7 linked regions of the Oryctolagus cuniculus genome follow. The protein of the gene in region 1 purifies or fractionates together with the protein of each later gene. This does not show direct contact. Links are inferred from orthologs where the notes say so. Each region holds a gene or a part of one and is shown in the gene's direction. Other genes may lie near its edges.

What was found.
Region 2: the proteins of ABI1 (region 1) and EPS8L1 purify together in Homo sapiens (co-immunoprecipitation; 4 studies listed by BioGRID and IntAct, with this or other methods). This does not show direct contact. The link is inferred for Oryctolagus cuniculus from reciprocal best matches to the Homo sapiens genes ABI1 and EPS8L1.
Region 3: the proteins of ABI1 (region 1) and WASF1 purify together in Homo sapiens (affinity purification with mass spectrometry; 6 studies listed by BioGRID and IntAct, with this or other methods). This does not show direct contact. The link is inferred for Oryctolagus cuniculus from reciprocal best matches to the Homo sapiens genes ABI1 and WASF1.
Region 4: the proteins of ABI1 (region 1) and NHSL3 purify together in Homo sapiens (affinity purification with mass spectrometry; 3 studies listed by BioGRID and IntAct, with this or other methods). This does not show direct contact. The link is inferred for Oryctolagus cuniculus from reciprocal best matches to the Homo sapiens genes ABI1 and NHSL3.
Region 5: the proteins of ABI1 (region 1) and EPS8 purify together in Homo sapiens (affinity purification with western blotting; 4 studies listed by BioGRID, with this or other methods). This does not show direct contact. The link is inferred for Oryctolagus cuniculus from reciprocal best matches to the Homo sapiens genes ABI1 and EPS8.
Region 6: the proteins of ABI1 (region 1) and CYFIP2 purify together in Homo sapiens (co-immunoprecipitation; 4 studies listed by BioGRID and IntAct, with this or other methods). This does not show direct contact. The link is inferred for Oryctolagus cuniculus from reciprocal best matches to the Homo sapiens genes ABI1 and CYFIP2.
Region 7: the proteins of ABI1 (region 1) and NCK2 purify together in Homo sapiens (affinity purification with mass spectrometry; 3 studies listed by BioGRID and IntAct, counting the BioPlex papers as one, with this or other methods). This does not show direct contact. The link is inferred for Oryctolagus cuniculus from reciprocal best matches to the Homo sapiens genes ABI1 and NCK2.

What each region holds. Positions count from the first base shown.
Region 1 is NC_091444.1:103,386,975-103,390,688, forward strand, and holds the end of ABI1 (abl interactor 1), read left to right. Parts: intron 1-1,314; coding exon 1,315-1,490; 3' UTR 1,491-3,449; downstream 3,450-3,714. Other genes in the region: all trans-polyprenyl-diphosphate synthase PDSS1, read right to left, coding at 3,557-3,697. UniProt on the Homo sapiens protein: May act in negative regulation of cell growth and transformation by interacting with nonreceptor tyrosine kinases ABL1 and/or ABL2. May play a role in regulation of EGF-induced Erk pathway activation. Involved in cytoskeletal reorganization and EGFR signaling.
Region 2 is NC_091449.1:3,734,132-3,737,473, reverse strand, and holds the end of EPS8L1 (epidermal growth factor receptor kinase substrate 8-like protein 1), read left to right. Parts: intron 1-583; coding exon 584-698; intron 699-785; coding exon 786-917; intron 918-1,013; coding exon 1,014-1,107; intron 1,108-1,185; coding exon 1,186-1,360; intron 1,361-1,551; coding exon 1,552-1,684; intron 1,685-1,764; coding exon of another isoform or gene 1,765-1,769; coding exon 1,770-1,880; 3' UTR 1,881-2,711; downstream 2,712-3,342. UniProt on the Homo sapiens protein: Stimulates guanine exchange activity of SOS1. May play a role in membrane ruffling and remodeling of the actin cytoskeleton.
Region 3 is NC_091436.1:61,320,877-61,325,098, forward strand, and holds the start of WASF1 (actin-binding protein WASF1), read left to right. Parts: upstream 1-1,365; 5' UTR 1,366-1,503; exon of another isoform or gene 1,504-1,530; intron 1,531-1,886; exon of another isoform or gene 1,887-2,000; intron 2,001-2,223; exon of another isoform or gene 2,224-2,358; intron 2,359-4,222. Other genes in the region: CDC40 (pre-mRNA-processing factor 17), read right to left, coding at 333-583, 790-853.
Region 4 is NC_091438.1:139,780,380-139,784,093, reverse strand, and holds part of NHSL3 (NHS-like protein 3), read left to right. Parts: intron 1-526; exon of another isoform or gene 527-616; coding exon of another isoform or gene 617-674; intron 675-2,202; coding exon 2,203-2,373; intron 2,374-2,455; coding exon 2,456-2,511; intron 2,512-2,739; coding exon 2,740-2,863; intron 2,864-3,469; coding exon 3,470-3,586; intron 3,587-3,679; coding exon 3,680-3,714. UniProt on the Homo sapiens protein: Able to directly activate the TNF-NFkappaB signaling pathway.
Region 5 is NC_091440.1:113,481,498-113,485,211, reverse strand, and holds part of EPS8 (epidermal growth factor receptor kinase substrate 8), read left to right. Parts: intron 1-527; coding exon 528-689; intron 690-817; coding exon 818-967; intron 968-3,654; coding exon 3,655-3,714. UniProt on the Homo sapiens protein: Signaling adapter that controls various cellular protrusions by regulating actin cytoskeleton dynamics and architecture. Depending on its association with other signal transducers, can regulate different processes.
Region 6 is NC_091437.1:44,287,779-44,291,492, forward strand, and holds part of CYFIP2 (cytoplasmic FMR1-interacting protein 2), read left to right. Parts: intron 1-857; coding exon 858-977; intron 978-1,795; coding exon 1,796-1,921; intron 1,922-3,714. UniProt on the Homo sapiens protein: Involved in T-cell adhesion and p53/TP53-dependent induction of apoptosis. Does not bind RNA. As component of the WAVE1 complex, required for BDNF-NTRK2 endocytic trafficking and signaling from early endosomes.
Region 7 is NC_091433.1:102,853,614-102,857,832, reverse strand, and holds the start of NCK2 (cytoplasmic protein NCK2), read left to right. Parts: upstream 1-1,417; 5' UTR 1,418-1,708; intron 1,709-2,066; exon of another isoform or gene 2,067-2,338; intron 2,339-4,219. UniProt on the Homo sapiens protein: Adapter protein which associates with tyrosine-phosphorylated growth factor receptors or their cellular substrates. Maintains low levels of EIF2S1 phosphorylation by promoting its dephosphorylation by PP1.

The sequences.
Region 1 (3,714 bases):
CAAAAAAATAAAAAATAAATAAGAAATAAAATAACTATGAAGTGGGAAAATGATTTCATAAATTTGGGAAGATATGTTTAATACACTTGGCAGGAGAGCAGAATTAAAAGCATATTTTCACAAGTTGAGGTGCTGAGTCCTGAACCAGAGGTCAGCTTGCTGTTTCTTGGATAAGACCAGATAGTATTTTAGACTCTGTTGGCTGTATGGTCTGTCACAACTGCTGTGCCTGCACTTGTAGCACAAAAGCAGGCACAGACAGTATGTTAGATGTGGCCATGCTGCAAGGAAGCTTTAGTTAAAAACAAGAAGGCAGCAGCTTGGATATGTGTATTGAGTTGTTCATTTGCTGACCTGTAGTATAAATCAAAACTGGAGATTTAGTAGGGTTAGATTTAAAATCTTTTTGTCACTTTTATAATCACAAGGTGAATGAATCCTGGATTAATTGCATTTCAGTTGAGTGTATGATAACAGTTTATGACAAGGCTGGTTTTTTTGTTTTATATTTATTTTATTTATTTGAAAGAGTTACAGAGAGAGGTAGAGACAGAGAGGGAGGTCTTTCATCTAATGGTTCACTCCCCAAATGGCTGCAATGGTCGGAGCTGGGCCAATCAGAAGCCAGGAACCAGGAGCTTCTTCTGGGTCTCCTATGTGCTTGCAGGGGTCCAAGGGCTTGGGGCATCCTCTGTTGTTTTCCCAGGTGCATTAGCAGGGAGCTGGATCAGAAGTGGATCACCCATCCTCGAACCGGTACCCATATGGGATTCTGGTGCTGCAGCCTGAGGCTTTAACCTGCTGCACCACAGTGCTGACCCCAACATGACTGTTCTTAAAGCCATTTTTACTTACCTGTAAGCTAATTTAACTTTAGCCTAATATGTGCCAAATTGTATACTTTCCAATTAGACAGCTTTGGTTGTTACCTGGTTTACTGAATAAAAGTTAGCTTTGCCTAATAGTTACTTTGAAAATGGTACTTCCCCTATGATGGACACTTTGTAGATATAGGAGCAAATGGATTAAAATATCTTATAAATCCCTGAACCCTGAGATCTTTCTTAAAAAGATTGGTAGAACCTTTTGATTTCTTTCGTCTAATTAAACTGAAATTTGGCCCTAATATCACGCCAGTGATTTAGTCACATTGTTGGCCACTGATTGACCTATATTGAAGGATACAGGAATTAAGACTTTTCATGAAAATAGTTGGCTTTGGCATATTATAGTACAATTGGCATAAAATTTCAAAATTCAATTATATGTTGAGTATAGTATACTCATGTGCTACTCTGTCTCTTTTCTCCGTAGTTGTTGCAATATATGATTATACAAAAGACAAGGATGATGAGCTGTCCTTCATGGAGGGTGCAATCATTTATGTTATAAAGAAGAATGATGATGGCTGGTATGAAGGAGTCTGCAATCGAGTGACTGGTCTCTTCCCTGGGAACTATGTTGAATCAATCATGCACTATACTGATTAGATTTTTGCTTTTAAAGTAGGATCTTATTACTCAGTCATACTGTGGGACTATTACGGTTAACAGAATTGTCTTAATATGTTTTAAAATGTGCCCATATTTTCAGGACATGCTGTTTTATTGGTATAATTGAATGTCTACCTATAAGCATAAATCATTGAGGCAGTTTGTATATTGCTAAACAGCAATTTATACAAGAGGCTGTCCCTGATTATGCTTATGTACTTACTTACACAATGTTAACTTTATGACCAGCCTAAATATTCTGGGGAAGCGGGGTATAATATTTAATGAATTATATGATTCAGATTGTATCATTACATGTTTCAGTGAGCATGGTTACTAATGCTATGTCAAACTAATATTAAAATCAGAAAACTTAAATGCTGGTGCTGGTCATACTTTTTTGTTTAGATTCTCTCATTTAAAAAAATACTGTTTAAAGCATGCATAAAAATTTATGTGTTGAAATATACTGAAAAATTCCAAGATGCTTCCAATTTGTGTGCTATTTCCCTGGAGTATTCACACTTAGGTCTCCTGAAATGAATTGAGTCTCTAAGTTCCCCATGCAAAACAAACAAAAGGCTAATCTGTAATGTTATAATTTGTACCTAAGTTTTTTAATGAATGAAATTTGAATTATAAATTTTTTCCATTCATAAATATATAAGTGAACCAAAGGTCTTTGTCCTTTCCTTCACTGGTTTGCTTTAAAAAAAAAAAAAAGAGAGAGAGAGAGAGAGATACTGATTTATTATAGAATTATGGTTCTATTTTCTCAATATATTAACTTGGAAAAAAATTTTAGCCTTAATCTGTCCCAACAGCAATGTGATGGATTTTTTGCAGATTTAAAAATCTGAGATGGTTATTTACAAGTCAATCTACTGAATTCCTTTTTGAAAGTAACTAACTTTTGAAGCTACGAAAATGTGTCAAAGTGTACACATTTATTCTGTAAGTAAAATTTTTAAGGATTGCCATACCTGTCCTTTACTTTTACAGTGGACTATTGTACACTGGTTTGATGAAAGGAAATTATAAGTATCTTTTACATATTGTAAAAGTAAGTGCGATTGATTTGTGAATAGGCACTATTTAATCCATTACCTGGCACTAGCAACATAAGATTTTAAAATACAATAATTTGGAAAGAAGGTGAGTCATGTATTATTCAGTGAACAGAGATATACTTAACCAACAGATTTGTATTGTCTTTTGACATAATTGAAATGCAACACATGCACTTTGTGTGTCTCCTCTTAATTTAAGGGAGGGTTAGAGGGATGTCTTCTCTTATCTTGTGTATAATTCTGTATTGCTTAGGATATTAAAGTAGAGCACTCAAGTGTGGGTTTCTGTGTATTGAGGATTTGTTTGAGTTTCAAATTACAGTTATGTATTGGGCGTTACAGACTTCTAACAGCATAGTGAATGGTAAGACTAGTGCAAAACATTTATTTCTGACAATTAAAGACCATTATTGCTACCAAATCAATGTGACTGTTTCATATACATTTTGCCTTTGTTAATTTCAAACCAAGTGTCATTAGTGATCAGCTAGCTACCTTCTATTCCTTTTTTAAGTGGAATGTTCTCTTAATTTGTATATAACCTGTTGTCTAAATTTTATGTACAGTCTTTTATAATAAACCATTCTCCTATGAGTTTTTCGATACTGTTAAAATACAAATAATGTGGATGTAAGTGCACACTTCACAATTTTCTGATCTTTACTCCTATGGTGAAATAATAGAAACCATTTGAATTTTAACATTGATTATTTATTTGTGTAATGGCTTTACATGTGGATATTAACAGTGTAAACAATACCACATAGAACCATCAAGATACCTCAATTAGAATTTATAAGACTGCAATGACAGATTCAGATGATTTAAGTACATTGAAAAAGTTTTCTGAAAAACTTTGCCAATAAAAAAAAAACCTGCCCATTAATAAGGTTGAAATTGTTTTTTAAAATGATTTTTGGTTATCTGCACATGAAGCAAACAACTTTAGGCACAGTCTGGTAAAGTAGCTGCCAGAAAGAACAGAAGTTGTTGTTATTTATCTCTCGTGAGTACAATTTCCGAGAGCTGAATGAGGGCATCTCTTTCTGGGGATGGTCGCAGTTTGCTGATCTCTCTGATGGCTTCATGGCAGTACCGCTGGGCGAGGTAGGTTGTCTGTTGCACACCATCACTCTACAGAAGTGGAACAA
Region 2 (3,342 bases), on another chromosome or scaffold:
GTTGGGGGCAGGGCTTTGGCCTGCTGCCTGGTGCCGTGGAAGGCCCAGCCTGCTCCTCTGCGCTCCCCGACACTGGGCGCCAGGCTCCCGGCTTCTGCTCGGCCCAGTGGCCTGCGGTGGGAGCAGCTCCCTGCTCAGGCTGCCTGGGGCCCGGTGTGGCCAAGCCTGTCCCTGTCCCCCTCCCTCGGCTCCCCAGGCTGCAGGAATGGAGACGGGCGGGGGTCTTTGGGGGGCGGGGTGGGGAGCCTCGGAGCTCAGGGCTCTGCAGCAGCCCTCACGGGGAGCAGTCAGGGCACAGGCACACCCGCCTCCCGGCCCAGCCCTGCACACGGCCTCTCTCCCTCTCTCTCCCTCTCCACTCTGGGGCAGGGGCCTTCCTCCTCTCTCCAAGGGGAAGTGGCCATGTCTTCTCCTCGCAGGCGCGGTGGTGCTGCTCAGATCTCAGACCCTGTTAACACTATTAACCCGGCCCCCGCTCCGCCCGCTCCGCCGTAACCCCAGCTCACAGAAGCCGCCCCAGCTGCAGGGACAGCAGCCGGGCCGCCCCACCCCTCACCTGCCACTTCCCCTCCCCCCACCCCAGCCACCAGGATCCCGAGCAGGAAGCCGAGCCCGCGGGGCGGTGGGTCCTGTGTGCCTACGACTTCCAGGCCCGCAATGGCAGCGAGCTGTCCATCCAGCAGGGGGACGTGCTCCAGGTCAGCCGGGCGGGGAGGGGGAGGGGCCGCAGCCGGCCAGCCCCCACCGCAGACCCCGCCTCTCAGCCCGCTCCACTCCACATCCAGGTCCTGGATGACCGGCGCAAGTGGTGGAAGGTCCGGGACCCCCGGGGGCAGGAGGGATACGTGCCTTATAACATCCTGACCCCCCACCCCGGGCCGGGCGGGGACAGCGGCCAGCCCCCGGCCCCGCCCCTGGTGAGCCAGGCAGGGCCTGGGGGTCTGCAGCTCGGAGGTCTGGGGTATGGGTGGGTGGGAGGTGTGAGGGCCAGGACTCAAGATTGGCCCCCACAGGACAGCGCGCCCCCCGCCCCGCGGGCCCCGGCTCCTGCCCGCCCGCGCTGGAACAGCTGCGACAGCCTGGACAACTTGGACGCCAGCGAGAAGGGTGAGTGGACACCTCCCCCGGGGAGCCCCCTGGCCTGAGCACCCGCCGGGCCTGAGCGCGCGCGCCTCCCGCCCGCAGAGAGGTTCTCCCAGATGCTCAGCGTCCACGAGGAGCTGCAGGCGCGCCTGGCCCAGGGCCGCCCGGGCCCCAGCCGCACCGCCCCGGGGCCCCGCGCCGCCGAGCAGCAGCTCAGCCCGCGGTCGGACGCCGCCGAGGTCCGCGCCTGGTTGCAGGCCAAGGGCTTCAGCGCGGGGTGAGTGGGACAGTCACCGCAGGGCTGGGATTTGCCCAAAACTGATTGGCATGCTGTCCCAGCCACTGGCTGGGGCCCCGGAAAGCCCCGCCCCCACAGCGGGATGCGGCCCTACTCCCTGGAGGGCGGGCGCTCTGGAGCGCGGACCCGCGGACAGGCCTGAGCACCCCCTCCCTGCCGCCCTCGCCCAGGACCGTGGAAGCGCTGGGGACGCTGACCGGCGCGCAGCTTTTCTCGCTGCAGAAGGAGGAGCTGCGGGCCGCGAGCCCCGAGGAGGGGGTGCGCGTGTACAGCCAGGTCACGGTGCAGCGCGCGCTGCTCGAGGTGAGCCCGGGCTGCTCCTCGCCCCCCCGCCCGACCGCACGGGGCCGGACCCGGCGGGCTGACCGCCGTCCCCCCTTCAGGACAGGGCGAAGCCGTCGGAGCTGGAAGCAGTGATGCAGAAGCAAAAAAAGAAGGTGGATGGCGAGGTGGACTCGGAGGTCATTTGAGCTTTCTCAGCCCGCGCTGCGAGAGGTGACCACGCAAGCCCGGGGAGCGCGGACTGCAGGATCCCTGTCGAAGGTCGGAGGCCCGGGCCTCCCCACCCTGGGGGCAGACCGGACGGACAGTCCTGGCCGCCGCGCCCTCGCGCGGGTGGGAGTGACAGGGCGCGCTATGGACAGCTCCTCGGCGGCGGCGCGACGTCTTTGCCCCCTGCCCGCCCTCTCGGAGGGGGCCGCTGTGGTCTCCCCTGCCGCCTCCTCCACGCTGCGGGGCCCCCTGAGCCGGCCAGCAGTGTCCTCCAGCCCGGGGCTTCCCTTCCCTTCCCCGTGAAGCCCCCCACCCACCTCTCCCGCCCAGCCCCAGGCTGCTCTGCCGGCACCTGCTGCTCCCTTTGTGAGCCGCCCCGGCTAGAAATCCACGAAGCCCCTCCTCCCTCCCGCAAGCCCCCCACGTATCCCCTGGGGCTGCGAGGGTGCCAGCTGGGGCACCTGCCCTCGCAGCCCCACCCCTCAGGCTGAGTCCGGGCAGGCACAGCTCCGCCCCCAGGGGTGCCCCTGCCCACCCTCAGGAACCAGGCCTTATGCCTCCAAAGACTTCCTGGTCCCCAGGGCCCTCGGGGTAAACAGGCAAGCCCCCGCCTGGGGACTCCAGGGAAGGGCCGGCTGCTCTCCCACCCCTCGTTCTCAACACAGGAACCAGAAACCTCCACTACCCGGGCTGCACACGGGAATGCCCGTGGTCTCGGCCTGCACCCTGGCGGCTGGCCACGGCTGCAGTTCCAGACCCGACCCCTCTCACCACCTCCACGGCGGTGCCCCGTCCCCCACCCCCTGCCCCATCCGCTCAATACAGCGCTGAAACCGTCCGTGGTCTCGTTTCACATCCGCCGCCGCCAGCACCCGCCTCACCTGCCCAGGGCGCTCCCCTCCAGAGCCTCCCCTCCCCCCTCCCCCTCCCCCCCAGCGCTACAGCTGGACTGCGCCTCCCCCATGGTCCTCTCCTGGGAGACCAGCAGGCAGCCAGAACCTGTCCAGGAGGCCAGGCCCAGCCATGATGAATCAGTGAATGAATGAACAAATGCCATCGAGACACAGCTCCTGCCCAGCCCCCTCACTGCCACCAGTGGGGCTGGAGCGGCCTGCCACGTGTCACCCCAAGTCTCCCCAGCCTGAAACTGGCCCCGTAGGCCCTCCCCTCCCCGGCCTGGGACCCTGTGGGCGTGGCCTGTGGCCTTGGCCCCGCCCCCGCACCTGTGCAGTCTGAGTGGCAACTTCACGACTTTTATTTGTGGTGCCTGTGCTTTGTCTCGAAAATACCTTCTCCCCCTGCCCCAGGCGAGAGCGGGGAGGGGGCAGCAAAAATAGAAGACGGCCCTCCCTATTGCACATGGACCCCATATACAGCCCCGGCCGCGGCCAGGGCTCTTGGCACATTCTGGATCCCTGCTGGGGGAGGGGCGCCGGTGCCGGCACACGTGAGGTGGGGGCCCCGGGGCA
Region 3 (4,222 bases), on another chromosome or scaffold:
TTCTTACTTAAAAAACAAAACAAAGCCGGGCCACTGTTCACTTCGTACCCCAGCTTGTACAGTTCTGGTCTAGTTTCATTCCTGTTCTGAGATTACACCGGCTTCGTCCAAGCCTTGTCCCAATCCACCCCGCTTCCCACCTGCTTTCTGACAGCGGGGGGCGAGGGCAGGGGTTCTGGGGGCTCTAGAGGGCTGCTCCGCAGATGCAATCCAAGCGTTAGAGACTGGCCTCTCGGCGCCGAGAAAGAGGCAAAACGTGGCCGAACAGCGGCCGGCGGCGACTTTGGAGCTGGAGCCCATTCCCGCACCGCAGCGGTGGCCGCAGCACTTACCTTAACTGCCACCTCCGGAGCCGAGTCCACCGCCACTGCCAGCGAGGGCTTGGCCGAAGGCGATTTAGTCAGATGCATGAGAGACTCGGCGGCTGGCAGCGGACATCGGCCGCCTTCACTGTCCGAGTCGGATTCGGACCCCGAACCCGAACCGTAGGAAGCGGCCAGAGCTGCAATAGCAGCCGACATGACGGCAAACTGATCCTCTGCGGACACCAGGCCCGGGCGGAAGGAGAAGCGGCTTCCAGGTCCTGACAGACAGCCGTGAAACACATTATTTACTTCCTTGGCTAAGAAATCATTTGTAACATTTTGAAAAAAAAAACAGACCAATTATTATTTGAATAGTTTCTATAGGATTAAGAGGTTGGAAACATTTACCTAAGGAACCAGTTTTAACAGCTGGTCACTTTCAGGACCTGGAGGACTAGATTAAAAACTACGAGTTCAGAAATACCTGGAGGCCTTGCGGCCACACACTCCCGGCGTGCAGCGCGGCGGGAAGTGCGCGCAGGCACCATGGGAAATGTAGTTTAGGGCGAGAAGGCGGGGCTGGCGGGCAGGTCTCTCCTCGACCCCGCCCCTGGATGGATGGTTCATTCAATTGGCTATCATCTTCCCTCATTCCCTCGCCAAGCTGGGTTCTCTCCGTCCCCCTCCCCCAAACTGAGGTTTGGGTAATACCACAGAGCCTCCGGAAAGGGGGGAAACGTGGTCTTCACCCCCACGGATGGGCGAGTGGGCGGAGGCTCGGTTTCCCATCACCGCAGCGCCTGGGCACTGGGGGCTGAAGAGGAGAGTGAGAATCTTGAGTTTGAAGACCTGTCACTGACCAGGAATAGCTCCTGGGTGGAAGGCTGGGAAATTGGGAGCAGAGAGTCCCGCGGTCCCCCCTGCCTCTGGCGCGGGTCCCCGCGCCCGGTTGTGGAGCGTCGCGCGCGGGGAGGGGGCGGGTGAGGCAGCGGCGGCTCGCGGTGTTGTTCGCTCGCGCGTCGAGCGCAGTGTGGGTCCGGCGAGCGGCGGGCGCCCCGGGCGGCGTTCCCCGCGGCCCGGCGCCTCAGCCGCTGCCCCGAGCGGGTCCCACCCCCGGAGCCTGCCCTTCCTGGGGGCTCTCGGTGGAGTCCCGGGAGCTGAGCGGGACCGGCGGCCGCCGCCGAAGCATGCAGAAGGGGTAAGGCACGAGCCCCTAGGTTTCACGGTGAGCGCGGCTCTCTCAGGGATTGTTTCCTCGGGGGAGGGGGCCGGGGAGAGGAACTCGGTCTCAGCGGCCGGAGCTGGAGCCGGGAGGCGTGTGCGTGGCTCTCCTGCCCGCAGAGGCGGCGGGGGTGGGTGGGCTCGCCTCCCCCGCCCCCATTCGCGGGTCTCCCGAGCTCCCGCCTCCCCGCCGCCGGCCCGGCTGGTGCTGCGGGGAGGCGGCGGTGGGCGCGCCGGGGTCTGCGCTGCGGGGACCGCCCTGAGGCGGCTCGGGGCGGGGACTCTGCGGGTCTCACCTGAAGTGCCGCCGCCTGGGCTCCCCAGCCCGCCCGCACCCTCGGCCTCTCGCCCGGGAGCCGGCTGCAGCCTCGGGTGGCCGAGAAGCCCCGGGCGGCTCTGCGTGCCCGAGGCTCGGTGCAGCCCGCTGGCGCGTTTGCGTGTTTGCGCCGCACGTCGGTGTCTGAAGCTATAACGGTAAAGCGGGTGCGGGCGTGCGGGTTTTCCTTTGAAGAGGAGGCGAAGCGATGCGGTCGCCCCCGCTGCCTACTCGTGGGGGGTGGGGAGGGGGCGTTGGGCAGAGTTAGGGAGCCGCTTGCTGGGCTGTGATGTCGGCGGGACTCGCCCATTGTGCCACCCAGATAATTATTCAACTATGCAGCATCCATTGCACCTTTGGCGTTGTTCTCCCCTGGCTGCAGCGTGCCCCCTAGCTTCCGTACTCTGACACCTTCTGCACTCGCGGGGCCTGAGCTGGAATAGTGATGACAGCACATCCGACCCGAGCCTCGGCGACCTGTTCTGTAGACGGTTGATCAATTAAGCCCCAGCTAGAGTACGTACTTCAGCAGGGCTCACTGTGGTTCCTTTTTTGTAAAAGATACGCCTTGCATTCTGAATGCTCTGTGTTTTTTTTTTTTTTAATTTTATTTTTGGTGGTAGCTAAATCTTGTTCCTGTTCTGTAATAGATGTGATGGATGTATTGCTGATTCAACCCCTCTCCTGTTCTTTCCTGTGAGTCGTAGGGAACTTTGATTGGTCTAGTTGTTGATAGCGCTATGTCTACACATGTAGTCTCAATCTGAACTCTACGGGAGCAATTTATCCTTTTGCTCTTAAGCTTCTGTTGGGAAAAGTTTTTATTTGTATTGAATATTTTAATAAAGTATTTGAATAAAACATCTCAAGTTTTGAATGAGAAAACTTTGGTATTTAATTTCACCAGTAGAATATTTGAATATTTGATTGCTAACCATAGCCTACAGTGGAATGAATGATGGGGTTTTTAATCGTACCCTAACTTAGCTGAATTTTATTTTTTATTCAGTTGTTTTCTTTGTAATATCATGTATTTACTTGCAGATCTTTTTCTTATGTTTCTAACTTCTGTCTACAAGGATAGCTATGTTCCAGTTTTACATGCTGTACCTGAAGGATGACATTTTTTTGCAAATATTACAAGCAACTGTTGGGTACTTGATGCTTACAAATTATTGTTTAAAAATAAATAATTCACTACCCCAAATAAGTGTTTTCCTTTGATTTTTGTAATCTTCCCTTTCCATTTTTCCTTTTTTAGGCTTCTTGCATTAACTCTTTTGATGAAACAGAATTGCAGATAGGCATTGCAAAGGCAATTTGAAAAGTACAGGACTTGTTTTCTGGCACTTGGAAGTGGCACACGTATGTTCATGCTGTAGGATCAGTTGCTTCCTTGAGAAATGACCTTGCAATTTACAAAATGGATACCTTTGTGCCTTGGTTTCCTTATGTGTAATGGAGATAATACTCATTTACTCCACTAGGTTGTATGTGTGGATCAGTAAGTATGCTTCATAATGCTTTTAAAGGAATTTAAATACTTTAGCTGATAAATTGACACTTTCAGTGAAAACTACAATGAAAAAATGTAATATGGATTTTCGCTGCCATGTTAGAATGACTGATTCACGTTGATTTTAATTTGGAGCAATACTTAGAGTGATACTTCTAAATTGAAGAAAGCTTTTCATCTATCAGTTGTTTTTAATTGCAGACATTAGGTATTATAGTAAATAAGTATAGTTATAAATAATAGGCATAAATAATACTGATAAAAATTATGTGACTTGATAATGAACAAGTATAATATTGAATTAAGTTTGTGAAAAATTAAGCTATCTGGAAATATTAAGGCCTTTTTCATTAAAAAAATTTGTAGGTGACACATTCCAAAATCTACAGTTGTAATCATTTGGAAGGTATAAACTGGAGCTACTTTGTTTATTATTTGGGGTTATAAACATTGATATATATATATATCCAGAGGCAATTTGTTAATATTGCATAAGACTATATTTAATTTTATATTTTGCTTTATTTTAGAAATAATTTAAGGTATCTTTTCCATGTGCTCAATTTTTGTTATCACAGTACATCATTTTTTGATTTCCTTCTGAAAGATTAACTCAGTCAATTTCCATAGCAAAAACTATTAAAAGATCGTATTATTAGAACTTTTAACAAAACAGTAATTAACATTTATTTTGTGGGAAAACTTCATGTGAATGATAAAACTACTGAAGTGTCTTTAAAATTAAAACTATTTTATAGTTCCTTTGGGGAGAATTAATTTGATTACATTTATGTTTTCTTAAATGACAGATAAAATTTAGCTTTCAGTAACATTGGAGTAAATGCAGTTAATTCAGAATTTTTC
Region 4 (3,714 bases), on another chromosome or scaffold:
AGAGAGGTTGTTGGCAGCAGCCACTGTGATTCTGCCCTGGGCCTGTCCCTGACTTCCCGGGTAGGTCCTGGGTCCTGGGCCAGCCCCCTGCCCCTCCAGGGGCCTCTCCACCCCCACAGGGCTGTCCTGGGCTTCTGCCTGACTGCCTCATTGGCTGAGCTCTGTCCCCAGGGCATTACCCTCACCAGCCAGGAGGGCTTAGGGGCGGGCACCTTGCCAAGTCTAGTCTGGCGGCCCGTCCGCCTCCCATCTGGCAGCCGGGACCCCTGCCCCAGCTCTGGCTCCGGAATATTTAGACCAGGACACAGTGGCAGGGTTAGGGGACCCCGCTGCAGCTGAGTGACCAGAGCGGGGAACGCACAGACTCCATGCCTCAGTTTCCCTCGTGCACCCTGCATCCTTCTTGAGGGGCGGGGTCGGCCGGTGGGCGGGATCAGTGGCGAAGGTGGGAGGAGGACCTGGAGCGGCCCCTCCCCCTCCGGCTGGAGGCATTGCTGCTGCGGGGCGGGGACGCGAGCGCTCGGGCGTTTTCCTCCGTGCTGGGTCATGGTGAAGGCGCCGCGCGGCGCTCGGGAGAGGCCGGGAGAGGGGACGGTCGCGAGCGGCGCCCGCAGTCATGGTGGTGTTCCTGGGCCGCCACCTCCCCACGCTTCCTGGGCTCTTTAAGAAGAAGGGTGAGTGGGTGTGGCAGCGGGGTGAGAGCCGGGATCCTCTATACGTCCCTTTGCCGGACCCTGTTGTAGAAAAAGGGGTCAAGGCCGGGAAGGAGTAATGGAGGTGGGGGCTGGGGGCTGGTAGCGAGGCCAGAATCTCCCGTGCTGCTTTGTCCGGCCGCTTTGCTGCTGTCTTTGTCTGGGCCCTGCTTGTGCTTGGGAGGATGGAGCCAGGTGTCTCTGACCTTGAAGCCGGCTTGAGCTTTGAAGCGCTTCGCTGAGCACAGCCCGGGGCCGGTTCAGAGAGCTGGCAGCCCCCTCCCCAGTGAGAGGGGCTGTGGGATGCGAGCAGAGGTGGGGAAAGTAGTTCCACAGGAAGTTGGGGGACTTAAAGGCCTGGGTAGGGGGAACCTGTGCCCACTCCTCCTCCAAAGACCTGGGCTTCCATGCCAGGATTAAGACGGGGCGGCCAGGGATTCCAGGTGTGTGTGACCCTGGAGCGCCCTGTGGCAGCCCAGAGTGTCCTCCTGGCTCTGACTCCCGTTTGCTGGGTGACCTTAGGCAGGGCCTTTCCCCCTTGAGCCTGTTTTCCCCAACTTGTCAAATCAGGAGGAGTGGATGAACAGTTCCCATCAGGTCCCCTGGGGGACCCCAGCTCTGCCCTGGTGGGACTCCCGTGGATGCCCGGGTGGAGAGGCAGGTGTCGGGGGCGCGGCCCTGTGATGGGTTTGTTTTGTTCCTGCTCCTGCACAAAGTGCCATCCAGGTCACATGACCCTCCTAGCGCTTTTGCTTATGTTGTGGGTTTCATTTAGAGGGGGGCCAAGGCTGCAAAGTGCTGACGCAGCCCCCCCACATCCAGGATTAGATGACCAACCCCTCCGTGGGCGGGGCTTGTAACTGGAGCCTTTGTAATGGATCCTGGCTCCTCTGCACCAAGGGCCAGGGCCTCCAGGAGGGAGGGGAGTGGGGGGGGCAGCTGGGACTGTTCCCTGAGCAGAGCCCAGAGCTTCCTTGGCTGCGGGTGGAGGGTCCCAGTCCTCCTTCTCTCTGCCCTTACTTCTAAGGGCCAGCCACATGGGTGAGTAGGGGACCCACAAGGTTATATATACCCCCATGGGTGCCTTCCCCCAGGCTTTGCTGGGACTCTGGGTAGGTCCCCTGCCAGCTCCCACTCTTTCCTGGTCTCCCTTCTTTCTGGATGTAGGCTGAGAGGTTTCACTATAAGTATGCTTTCCTGTAAAGGGGACTTGGGGGCTGCAGATGGGGAATGTGTGTGCTGTGGACTGCACATGTCCCCAGGCAGTCTTGTGTGCGGCTCTGAATTACAGACACAGTTTGTGTGTGTGCACAATGGGAGCTGTATATATTGGGTGCACATCCCAGAATGATGGGTTGTGTGTCCAGGTAGGGGGAAGTGGGTATCACCGTGTGCGCAGGGGCTGTGCACAGGCTGGGGACTGTGGGTACCCTTGTGGCTGTGCCTTGTGGCATGTCCGGGACTCCGATGTCTTCCAGCTTCAACTTCCCTCCCTCCTCCATCCCACTAGGCTCTGCCAAAGCTGAGAGTGACAAACATCAAAGCGTAGGGCCCGGCCAGGGGCCAGGGTCTGCAGTGGATGAACACCAGGACAATGTCTTCTTCCCCAGTGGGCGGCCACCCCACCTGGAGGAGCTGCACACGCAAGCGCAGGAGGGGCTCCGCTCACTGCAGCACCAAGGTAACACTCCCCTCCCGCCAGCGCACTCTCTTAGCTCCCAAGGTTGGAGGCCCAGCCCAACACACCCTCTGGTATCTTCCAGAAAAACAGAAACTGAACAAAAGTGGCTGGGACCATGGAGACACCCAGAGTATCCAGGTGAGCCCCCCGCCCAGTCCCGCTGGACTCCTCCCTCCCTGCCCGACCTGTGCACGCACCTCTCTGGAACTGTTTCCTTCCTGTGTCCTGAGGGACCAGGCCAAGGTTGCTGCAGCTGCTGCTGGGTTATACTGGGGGTGGGGCCGATCCACGAGCCAGAGTTCCAGTGGGGAGAGTTGGAGGCAGCCCCGCCCAGGCCAGGGCCTGATCGCCTTCTTCCCCCGATAGTCCTCCCGTGCGGGGCCGGATGAAGACAGCATCTCCTTCTGCAGCCAGACCACGTCCTACACGGCCGAGAGCTCCACGGCAGAGGACGCTCTTTCTATCCGCTCCGAGATGATCCAGCGCAAAGGTGTCTGCGCAGCAGCTGGGATTTGTGGGCAGGGGAGGGGACGGTGGGCACCGTCAGCTTGCCCGTTTCCTCCTAACCCAGGGGCTCGCCAGGCTCTGTGACTCAGTGAATTCAGGAAACACAGTCTCCTGTGTCCTCCTGGAGATTCACAGCACGTGGGCTGTACAGCAGGACAGTTCATTCAGAGTGGGGAAGCCTGGGTGTGAGGCCTGGCATTGCCATGTACTAGCTGTGTGACCTTGGGCAGACCCTTAACCTCTCTGAGCCTCTGTTTAATGTTCTATAAAAAGGAGAGTAATAAGAGTACTTACCTTGTTGGAATGAATGCCAAGTGTTTCACCTGCTGGCTGACACATAGTCCTGTGTTTACTGAGTGGAAATTATCATTGTTGACTTAGCAGCATCCTAGAAGTCTTACAGAAAAGCAGCTTCCCATTTGGTTTAACCCGGCTTCGCCCACACACCTATTTGTGCAAATTGTTTTTTTTCCCAGAACTCTTCTTATTCCACAAAAGTGGTGCTCTGCAGAGTGTGCTGAGTCCTGCTGCTCTAACGGTTTTTTTTTTTTTCTCCACCCCTGCTCATCTCCCCCGGACTGGCCCCCAGGCTCCACCTTCCGACCTCATGACTCATTTCCAAAGTCATCCGGGAAGTCAGGGCGGCGGCGGCGGCCACGGCGGAGCACGGTGCTAGGTCTACCGCAACACGTGCAGAAGGAACTCGGTGAGCCCTGGACTGGGAGGGCGGCGGCGGTGGCCTCGGGGAGCGCTGGCCAGCCCCTCTCTGCTGACCCCCCACCTCTCCCGTTCCTCCCAGGCCTGCGAAATGAGCGGGAGGCACCAGGCACTCCT
Region 5 (3,714 bases), on another chromosome or scaffold:
GGAGGTAATTTTGGAATTGCTCCTGTTTCAGTTTTCTAATTATCTGAAGCATGCATAGCTAAAATTAAACAGTTTTGTTTTGGTAAGTGGTTTTAGGAGACTGCATACTAGAAGCTGTTATAGAATGAATTGCTGCGGCCAGTCTGTAGTGTCAGCTTCCTCAGTTTTGGAACTGACGTGTAAGTTGTTCAGCATGTAAATCACCATAAAAGAGTAAGGTGGGGTTGGGGAGGTTATTTTTAGAGAATGCTATTGAAGCTGTTAAGACTTTGTTTTTATGTCATGTTTAATTCAGCTTGGCTCAATATGAAATAGACATGGATATCTTATGAGTTAAGACATCGTTTTCTTTATTCAACCTGCTTGACCTCATTCTCTTGATAAAATAATCATGAAGTTCTAGAGAACACTGTATTTGTCCTTCAGCTCTCTGACCCCAATTAGGTTAATTCTACTTTTGTTTGGAAAACGTGCACTAAGACATTTGTGTACATTATAAATATTTTTTTCTTTTTGCCAATTGTAAGCACTTGACTACCTTTGTTCTGGATCGCAAAGATGCTATGATAACTGTTGATGATGGAATAAGGAAGCTGAAATTGCTTGATGCCAAGGGCAAAGTGTGGACTCAAGATATGATTCTTCAAGTGGATGACAGAGCTGTGAGCCTCATTGATTTAGAGTCAAAGGCAAGTTCGTAAAATCTGTACTGTTTGATTTGTTAAAAATCTCCCTACGTACTCATATTTACAGAAAGGTCAGATTGTTTGACAATAGGCAAAAGTCTTACAAAATAAAATATTTACTTTACTTGTAGAACGAACTGGAGAATTTTCCTTTAAATACTATCCAGCACTGCCAAGCGGTGATGCACTCATGCAGCTATGATTCAATTCTTGCCCTGGTGTGCAAAGAGCCAACCCAGAACAAGCCAGATCTTCATCTTTTCCAATGTGATGAGATTAAGGTAAAAGACAGTGAATTTGTTTGTTTTTTTTTTTTTGACCTTTTAAGCAGATATTCTGGTAGCTTCCTATGATGGAGTATTCAAAAAATTCAGATAATGGGTTTCATGAAAACATTGCATAGATCTTATATTTTTTGTACCAAAATAAACATCTTTTCATCCCATTTTCTATGAATTTTGTAAAGTGCCCTCATATTTTAATCATATGTCATTGGAATACCAACTTTTTACTTTTTGAGGATTTTGTCAAGAAAACAAATATCATAGTATTTTCCCTTGGATTTCCAAGCCAAGAAAATAAAGGGGAAATTTGAGTGATACTAAAAAAAATCAGATGTATCGTTTATTTCTTAAACATGTAGATAATATTATAAATTCTTACCAAATGCCTGGACTTACAGTTGAAAATCAAATGTTAAAAAATGACACATGGACAATAAATTATCATACTACTGTCCAATTTTGTTCTGCACTAATCACCTAGTGTGGATTATTGTAATGAGGCACTAAGATAGTTCCCTTGACATTGGTATAAGGTTCATCATTTAATTATGTTACTTGAGTAATTGCTAAGAATTTGTAATCCTCAAATGATATGTGAAAATAATTGAGCACAGTTACCAGTAATAACAGGCTATCTCCTTAAAATTTTTGTTGCAAAGTACACTGTAATTTTTGAATAATTATAATTTGTGATGCTTTATTGGACCTTAGAAGTTATGTTCACCCTTGAATGTCTATTTCCTGAGTTGATTTCTTTAAAATTGAAATCACTTTCTGTTGATTGATACTTTGCCAAAGTAGTGATTTATTGTTTTGATTGTATACTATAAATATTCAGGCAACATTTATCTTACAAAAAATTTTGGGAGATTATCATAAAGAGACACTTGATCTTTTCTGTATTTGACATTAAACTATGATAGGTAAATTAGGGCTGACTGTAAACAGTATATTTTATAATTTCCTTCTAATTTAAATTTATTCCATAGATGACTTCTAATGATCTTATTTGCAAAGAATGTGACATTTAGATAATTTGTATATGTGTTATTCATCAGATTTTTGTATAGTGTAGTGACTTTTGAAAGTCAAAGTATATTAAGAATTTTGTAAGCTTTGATGTGTTGAATCGCTGAATATTAAAGTGAATATTTTGCTCTGAGAATATAGTGAATTTAATTCAAACATTTTAAAAACAAAGGACTAAGTTAAAAGACATTCATAATCTGGTGTTTGGATCCATGATATAAGAGTCCTCCTGGGAGCTAATAGTTACTATGCTGAGTAAAGTTTCTGGATTTCAGTTTTGAGAACAAGGTGCTTGCCTTATTTGACGTGGAGTGGTGATAGTGATACATTCAAATGGATTTACTGAATACTGTTTTGCTCTAACTAGAAGCTCATACACCACTAAGAACTATATTTGCTCATTTGTGCCATAGGCCACATGAGACCTTTTTTCCTTTGGCTGCTTGATTAAAAATTAAGTGCAGCGAATATGATGCAATCTCCTTTATGTGATCATCTTGCCATTTTGCTTTAGAGTGTTAATATTCATGGTACTTCACACACTGCCACAATGCTGTTGCTTACTTTTGTAGTCCTTTTTTTTCCTGAGAAATAAAATATCCTCCTGTACCCCCATGAGAAGTTCAAGGCTCCTGAGCATCTTTAGTTTTGATATCTCAGATAACAGAATGCCTTTGATGATGTGGGCAATGTCATTGAAAATAGGATGTTCCTGTGGCAGCAACACTGAACTGGGGCACCTTGACACTGCCAGTTAGCGCTAGACCTTGGCCAGGTCTACTTTATGCGTATTCCTCAGTTTCATAAATTAGAAGAGGAGAATGGATTAGATCAATGTTAGGTGTCCATTCAGTTCTCAAATTTTATGATTATCAGTGCTCACTGTAAGTGAATATATAGGATGCATGGTTGAGGAAAACATACATAATTCCAGAGAGCATTCAGACATAGCAGATGACTACATCTCAGCAATGATCTAATATCCAGTTTTAAACACTGGCTATAAATAAACTTGAAAATGAAACAGAATAAACTTTGTAGCTGTTAATCCCACATTGGTTCCAAAGTTTTGCAAGAGTTGTTTGCAGAAAGTAAATTTTTACCTGAAAAGACAAAATAAGGAGATTATCCCCAAGGAAACAACCTACTGTTGGGAACCTTCCCACGGGTACAGTAAATTTGCCATTAAAATAAGAGGGTCTCTATTGGGACCCAGCGGTTTGTTTCAGTGGGTTGATGGGTATCCAGTGGGCCCTGAGGAGGAGAAAGGAAAGGAAATTTACCCCACATGAACGTGTTTCTTCTCAGGTGGAAAGAATTAGCCAGCTTCATTTATAGCGCCTGCTTGTACTTTCAGCCTATGCTAAGTGCTTGTATGTTTGCCTTGTGGAAGGACATCTGGTTTAGAACCAAGGGGCTCTGGATCTTTAAAAATTCTTTCAGCTTCTAAATTCTGTCCTTGTAAACATCACCATTAAAAAATCTGCAAGTCACATTTTGAAAGCAATTTTGATTTTCAAAGAAGGCTTTCTTTTTTCATGAAGACACTTTACTGATTCAGACAAATAACCTAAACCCTTTCCCTGTTTTAATGGCCATATTGAAGCTTGGGAAAAAAATCTATAGTCCTCCAGGTAACTTGTCTCTCATTGCAGGCCAACCTGATTAGTGAAGATATTGAAAGTGCAATCAGTGACAGTAAGGGAGGGAAACAG
Region 6 (3,714 bases), on another chromosome or scaffold:
TTTTGGTATGGTCTCGGAGGAAATCTGGTCAAAGTTTTTTTTTTTTTTTAATTAAATGCTTTATACCTATAGCTTTTGCATGTAAAAGTGTGGTCAAAGTTGTTTTAATTGACTGCTTTATACATGTAGCTTTTTGCGTGTAGAAATATGGTACAGCCCATCAGCCATACTTGGGGACTATTTTAGGTTGTGAAATCACTAGTAACAAAGCACAAAAATGTGTGTGGCCCTAACTAGCCCACCAGAGGGAGACCCCTTGTTTAGGGTATGAGGCTGAAAAAGACATAAAGGTCATCTTGTTTGACTGTAGCTGAGACACACGTGAGCTGCAAGTCACTGAGACACGCCTGCGAGTATTGACTTGGGGATTCAGAAATGGATTTTAGCAAGTAGTTGTGCTTTGTGCGTGTAGACCTGAGTACATACGTGTTACATTCCCTTCTGGAGCACTACACAGAGAGACTGTGAAATCAAGTCAAGGGTTTGTGATGAGCATCTTCAGAGGGAACCCCATGTATTGACGTAGCTTCATGACAAATCTCATTGCGTACGTGCAGCGTATGTACGCAATTCTGTGTCCTGACTCATTGAACAGCATGCATTTCCATGCATTTCTACTGTGAATGCAGTCAGAAACGTTTGGAAGCCACTGCTCTGCCGGGGTGCTTTTGAGTGGAGCTCTGGATCACGGCCCCAAATTGGAACCCTGCATGGTTTACCAACCATGTGGCCTGAGCGCGGTGCTTATCTGAGCCCCGTTAATTTTCATGGGTACATAGTAATAACCCTATAGTGTTCCCAGGGCAGTTGGTGAAATGTGTACCAGTGCCAGACATGTGACAGTTACTGTTCCCCAGGTGGTGACGGGCTCCGGGCTGGACAGCCAGAAGTCAGACGAGGAGTACCGGGAGCTCTTTGACCTGGCCCTGCGTGGCCTGCAGCTTCTGTCCAAGTGGAGCGCCCACGTCATGGAGGTGGTAGGTGTCCTGCCCGCAGAGGACCTCACGCCAACCCATGCTGCCTTTGCGTCTGTGGGGCTCTGCCCATCCCCTGCACGCATTCTTAGCGACTTCATGTAGATACAGTTAACACACCATCCGACTCAGCCACCTAATGTGTAGGTTTATTGGTCTTCAGACCATCCACGGCATCGCATAACCACAGTGAAATTCAGGACATTGTCGTCCCTTCAGCAGTAAACCCTGTGTATCGTGACCACCCATCCCTGCAGCCCTGAGCAGTCTGCTTCCCAGCTCTCTGGCCATCCCTCTTCTGGGTGTTTCTTACAGATGGAGTCATAGAATCTGTGGTCCTTTGTATTTGATTTCTTTTTTACCCCACATTTTCTGACTCAGGAGCTAGCTTCTTTTAACTTTTGTATGTGAGAGACAGAGAAGGACCTTCTACTTACTGGCTTACTTCCCAGGTGCCTACAATGACAGGGGAAGGTGAAGTCAGGAGCTGAACTCAGTCCAGGGGTTCCATGTCAGGGGCCAGGACCCAGCTACCTGAGATGTCCCCTGCTGCCTCCGAGAGTCTGAATTAGCGAGAGCCTGAGTCAGGGTGAGAGCCAAGTATCGCACCTAGGCACTTCTCTGTGGGACTAAGCCTCTTAGCCAGTGTCTTAATCACTTGGCCAAACATCCTCCCCATACCCGGCTTCACCCATGTTGTAGCATGACTTGGTGCTTTGTTCCCCCTCATGGCTAGGTAACAGTCCATTGTGTGGGTCTATCCCCTCTCGTTGAGCCACTCATCAGTCGATGGTCATTTGGGTTGTTGCCATTCCCCCCAGTACTCCTGGAAGCTGGTGCATCCCACAGACAAGTTCTGCAACAAGGACTGTCCTGGCACGGCAGAGGAGTATGAGAGAGCCACACGTTACAATTACACCAGCGAGGAGAAGTTCGCCTTCGTGGAGGTAGGTGCTCCTTCCTTGTATCTCCTCCTTCACCCAAGACCACTGCTCACTGTGGCCCCAGGAGTGGTTCTGAGCAAGGTGACAGAATGGAGTCTCCTGAACTACTGGCCCCTTCTCCCACGTAGACCCAATCTCTTTCAAGAGTTACTACTTAGAAATGACTAGGAACCCTGCTCCAAAGAATCCAAAGGAAAATCTCCATTCCACTAGAACAGTGGGCAAAACAAAAAAGCCAACAGAAGAAACAAACAAAAAACTGGTTAAAAAAAGACATGGAAAGTGCCCAGACTAATGGGTGATCAAAGAACTACAGAGTGAAAGTAAGATTGGAGACAGTGTTTGCCAGTCAAGGTAGCAAAGATGTCAAAGTGTTGATGGCTATTGCAGATTGCAGTATGGGAAATAGACAATCTGATATTTTTGTGGCCAGGCTACACTATGGGCTTCCCCCAAGGGCAATCTGATATGTATTGATGTTTTTATAGTAGGAGAACCCTTTGGCCCAGAAGTTCTAGGAATATATCCCAGGGAAGTAAGCCAACTCTGAAGGGATATGTGTGCACACGTGTTCACCACAGTATTGTTTCTCATTCCAAAATATGTAAAGCTACTTAGATGTCTTTCAACATGGGATCAGGTACATAAAATAGAGCTGTATGGTTGAATACCGTGTAGCCGCTGAGAAGGATGAGAAGCTACCCACAGTAAATTGCTAAGTTTTGCAGATGCAGGTACATGAGGACAAATGATCCCATTTATACTAAAATTGATATACTTTTATGTATTTGCTCAAAATTGAGGGACCTACATATATATAGCAAACCATGAGCAGCAGCATTTTCCAGAGGGAGGACTGTTACTACCTTATAATGTTTTGAGTTGTGTTTTGTTGTTTGATTACACAGTAGTGTAGGAACATTCATTTCTATGAGGCTCTGAGTGGCAGAAACCCCTTTCATGAGCATTTGAAGCCCACGAGAGACGAGTAGAGACTGGGTCCTAGCCCTGACCACTGTAGGCACTTTACCTCTTTGAGACTTTGCTTCCTGTTCTGTAAAATGGGGCTAATAATCTCAACCGTTGCCCATCCCAGGGGTAGTTGTCATTGCTGCGAGTCGAACAGTAACTGTCCAGTAAAGTAATAAACATGGGCTGTCCAAGTGTCAGCGTTTAAAGCTGTTCTTGAGCAGGCTTCCAGGTTGGAGAACTTTGGGGAACTGAGGCTCAGTTTCTCTCCAGGCGGGAGAGAGATTGTGATCACCCTTGACGGTGTTCACAGTGGCCCCGTGTTCCTGCGGGGCTTCCGTTGCTAACAGTCACCTTGGAAGAAAGTGTCCCAGTTGTCACCCCTGGGAGAGATCCTCTGGGTCTCCCACACGGTTCCAGGAGGCCAAGCATTTGGGCCATCCACAGCTGCTTTCCCGGCGCATTAGCGGGGAGCTGAATCAGATGTGGAGCAGCCAGGGCTCGAGCCGGCACTCGTATGGGATGCTGGCACTGTAGCGCCAGCCCCTAAATTCACCCTCTGAAAGTGTTCGACTTGATAGTGTTTTATTTTATTCATGAAACTGTATAACCATTATCAGTGTCTAATGTTAGAAAACTTCTGTCACCTCCAAAAGAAACCCCTACTCATTAGCAGTCAGATCCCATGCCTCCCTGCCCCAGCCTCTGGCTGTCACTAATCTGCTTTCTGTCTCTGTAGATGTGGCTGTCCTGGGGATTCTATAAAAATAAATCATGCAATAAGTCATCCTTTATGACTGGTTTCTTAGACTTTGCATACGGTTTTC
Region 7 (4,219 bases), on another chromosome or scaffold:
TTGGGATCAGCGGTGCAGACGCTGCTTGGGACGTCCACATCCTATGTGGGAGCACCTGGTTTGAGTCCCAGTTCCTCTAATTTGATTCCAGCTTAGTGCTAATGTGGACCCTGGGAAGCTACAGATGATGGCTCTGGTGTTTGGGTTGCTGCCACCCACGTGGGAGGCCTGGATAGGATCCCAGTTCCTAGCCCAGCCCTGGCTGTTGCAAGCATCCGGGGAGTGGACCAGCAGATGGAGGCTATCTCTCTGTCCCTCTGCCTTTCAAACAAAAACTAAATAATTTCTTCTTAAAGTTCAGGCGGGTGGTTAACTAAAAAAAAAAAAGGACACATCAGACTAAAACCTTGATTGCTTTGGGAATCGAGGAAGGAAGACAACAGACCTCCTATAAGGAGAAAATATGGGCGGGCCAGAAGGCAATAGGACCAAAATCAATCATCTAAGATCAATGGAAAGATGATGGAGTTTCAGGAGGTAGAAATGCCACGTGCTTCAGCAGACCCTGTAGGATTAAGGTTTAGAGAGTGGCATCAGTGAGTTTTTCAAAGAATCAGAGGAGGAAGAGGAGAACCATGACTGAGATTTTACAAAGCAAACAAGGGTCAATATTGCTCTACGTATTTGGAGTAAGCCCATTGAAATTTGGGCCGACTATGGACTAAAATTCTGCTTTCCTCACTCCTAAGATGAGACTTGCACTAAAGGATGAGCTTTGGTAGCTTCTTTCCCAGAGTCAAACAGGAGGCTGTCCTGAGTCCCAGATCTTGAACTTGATCTCTGCTCAAGGTAGTGTACCTCCTTCCACATACTGAGCTATTCAAGGGTGACCTGTCGCCAAGGCGTGTCCCTGGTACTGTTGGAGGTAGGTAGATATTATCTCCCCATTTCACAGACTTGAGAAAAGTCAAGAAATCCCTGTGTGAGGTTACACAGGTCAGAAGTCCACAGTCCAGCAGGCCACTGATGACGGAGCTCCGGGGACTCTACTTACCCATTCTTGGGTGCTTTGGGGGAGGGAGTCAATCAAAGAATGTTGCCTTGCCTCCTTGGGTGAAACATTACTGTTTTCCTGAAGATCAGAAGCCAGGAGCCAAAGAAAGCATCTCACTGACACGGATGCAGGCGATCCCACCAGGGCTTTGGAATCCTTGGAACATTAGGGTTTCCTCTGGGAAACCACGGGGAGAAGGAGTTTGGAGAAAAGACATCTGGACGCATCCGGAAGGGGAGCTCTCCGGTCTCTGCCTCTGCTCTCGGGTTTCCAGCTTCCAAGTTTGTTTACTGGGCCACACAACTCCAGGCGGGGTGAGGCTGGGTGAGCCGGTCGGGCCCACCCCTCACGGTACCCGCAGGGGCCCAGGGGCAGGCGGCTCCTGATTGGGCTCTGCTCCCGGGGCTGTGCAACCCGACTCCCGGCGGCTGGAGCGGGCTTGCGTGCCTGGGAGGCATCAGAGGTCGGAGTTCCGCTCCTCCCCTTAGGAAGCGCCTCCGCCAGGGACGAATGGACTAAAAACGTGTCTGGTTGGGAAAGTAAATAGACGCAAGCCAAATAAAAATAAAAATGCCCGCAAGCAATCACAGGGAGGAAGTGACATTTTGCTGGAAGTCACTTTTCTGATGGACCACAGGCCTGCTGCGCTGAGCGCGCCGTGGGAATGCTTCCGGGAGGGGGGGGCGCGGTCTCCTCTCCAACTCGCGCGTGGCGGTAAGAGAATTAAACAAACAACAAAAAGAGCACGCGAAGCCCACCCGGCCGGCCTCCGGGGCTGGAAGTTAATGCCTGCATTTTTACGGTCGTCCCCACCCCGCCCCCGCAAGTGCGGGCGCGGGGACCTAGCCTAGCGCTCGGCGCCCCGCAGGGCCCCGCGGCGCCCCGCAGCGCAGCGTTCTCCAGCCCCGGGCTAAGCCGGGCGCGTTCCGGGGCCGGGCCGCGGAGCTCGGCGGAGCCCGGGGGCGCCCCCAGGTGGGTGTCGGGCCCCCGCCCCGTGCGCGCGCGGGGCCTGGGCCGGCCCCTGGGCGGCGTCACGGCGCGGCCGGGGAGGAGCGCGGGCGGACGAGGAAGAGAGCGGAGGAGGCGGGCGTTGCGCGCCGGGGGAGGGTCGCCGCCGCCGCCGCCTCCGCCGCCGCCTCCGGGAGCTTCAGGCCGGAGCCGCGCGGCCGAACGGGCGGCGAGCGGCGGGGAGGCTCGCGGCGCCCAGGCCGGCGGGGTCCGCCCGGCGGCAAGACGCGGGAGCGGCGCAGACAAAGAGCGGCGCTTGGGCGGGCGCAGCGCGGCCGCCGCCGCCCCGGGACCCGCGCCGCTGCCCTCCGGCCTCGGTGGGCGGCCCGTGGCGAGGTAAGTGTGTGCGCCGCAAACTTGGGGGCCCATTCGGCGGAGTTGGAAGCGCGGCGGGGCCCGCGGGCCGGGACGCGCCCAGGGAGGGGCTGGGGGAGTGGGGCCCCTCCGCGCTCCGCCGGTGCCCTCGCCCCCGCTGCGGCCTGGGCGCCCTCCCCACCGGCTGTGGACTGCTCGGCACCTCCAGGCTCCGCACCTTCCTGCCCGCCTTCCGGGCCCCCCACCCTACCCCCAGAGGCCGGCTTGGGGGCAGGGGCGCCCTCCAAGGGCGCGCGGGCGAGGAGCTGGGCAGGGGCCGGGCGGCGGGGCCCGGGGACTGGACACCTCCGGTGCGCAGGGAGTGCCCGGCCTGCGGGACGGACGGCGGCAGGCACGGGGCCGGGGCCGGGGTCGGCGTGGGACCGAGCGGCGGCCGCGGTCGCCGGGGGAGGAATCTCCGGGTCGCAGGGACGCGGGGGGTCACGATGCACCCGGAGAACTTAACTGTGTGTTGATTGCAACTATTTCTGATCCCACACAAAGCTGCTGTCACGTCGCGTAAGGGAGGGTCGACGGCCCGGCGCTGGGCGCTTTTGTGCGGGTTTCAGGGTCTGCGCCCTGCCGCGGATTTTCAGGGCACCCTTGGAGCCAGCCACTTGTACCAAAGTTTCTCCCGGTCGCTCTGCGTTCCGGGCGATGGAACCGCCAGGGGGTCCTGGAAAAACGTCCTGTGTGACTCTGAAAGCATCCACGACGGCTGCCGCGTGGGCGCCGTGTGGGCTTCGCATTGTGTGGGATAACGCTGTACTTTGTGGACAATGCCGATCGCCTGGGACCGGCTGTGGGCGGAGGCTGGGGGGTCACTGGCTGGTGGCCAGCAGGCACCTGGCTAAGTCAGCCTCCTCAGGACAAAGCAGGGGCGGGGGTGGCAGTGCCTCCCTTATTTGGCCAACAGGTTTGAGGCTTTGTGCCAAGTTTGCATGGGCATCATGGGGTGAGTGGGCCCCAGTCGCGTCCGGAAGGGCCTACACCATTACCCAGGCCTGCTCCTTGCACTGACCCAGGGAGAGACCGAACCCAGGGGGAGGGGCTGGTGGGCGTGGCTTTCTGGGGACCCACAGGTAGGGAGTCCCTTCCTGGCCCGCCCCAGTCCTGGCAGTTCGGGAAGGGTTTTTGTGTAGCCGTGAGAACCAATCGGGGGCTGTGTTTCCTGCTGCTGTTTTTGATTAAGTTACCTACAGAGTTATTTTTTTCCCCCAAGTCTTGAAAGTGGCGGAAAATGAAATTAACCCGGGCTGCCTTAACTTATCAAACCAGATCTGAGCTGTGCCTCAGAACACGCCCTTAGTGCACTCACCACCTGTGCCCAGATAAAGGCTCCCAGCGTGTGTGTGGTTTATGTGAAGAGTGGCAGGCAGAGAGCACCGGGGCCGAGGTCCAGGAGGGGGGGTGCAGGTGCATGGATGTTCGCAGGAGGGCTTTCCTGAGGAGGGGCGGTCTCCCCGCTTGAGAAGAAGTGACCACAGGGGCAGGTCCTGCCTGAGTAGCTCTCTCCTTGACACGAGGAGAGTGGCAGGGTCTTGGTGGCCTTGTGGTGGCCACCGGAGGGTGAGATGGCAGCTTTAGGCAGTGCTGGGTTTGCTCCTCTGGGTTCAGGGAGTCTCAGCTGCTGTGTAAACACTGCCAGCGGTCCTGACAGGCGGGTGAAACTGACTTGGCAAAATTGGCTGCATTGTAATCTTCTTGGCCCAGTTGAGAGAAACTGACCCTTTGTAAATAGAGGCATGGGTGGAAGGTGCATTTCCAGTAGCTTGGTCAGTTTTCAGGCTTTGAGTAACATGCTGGGGACTTAAACCTTCATTGCAGGCTGTTGGACCCTTGTCATGTTCTCAACCTCTGCCA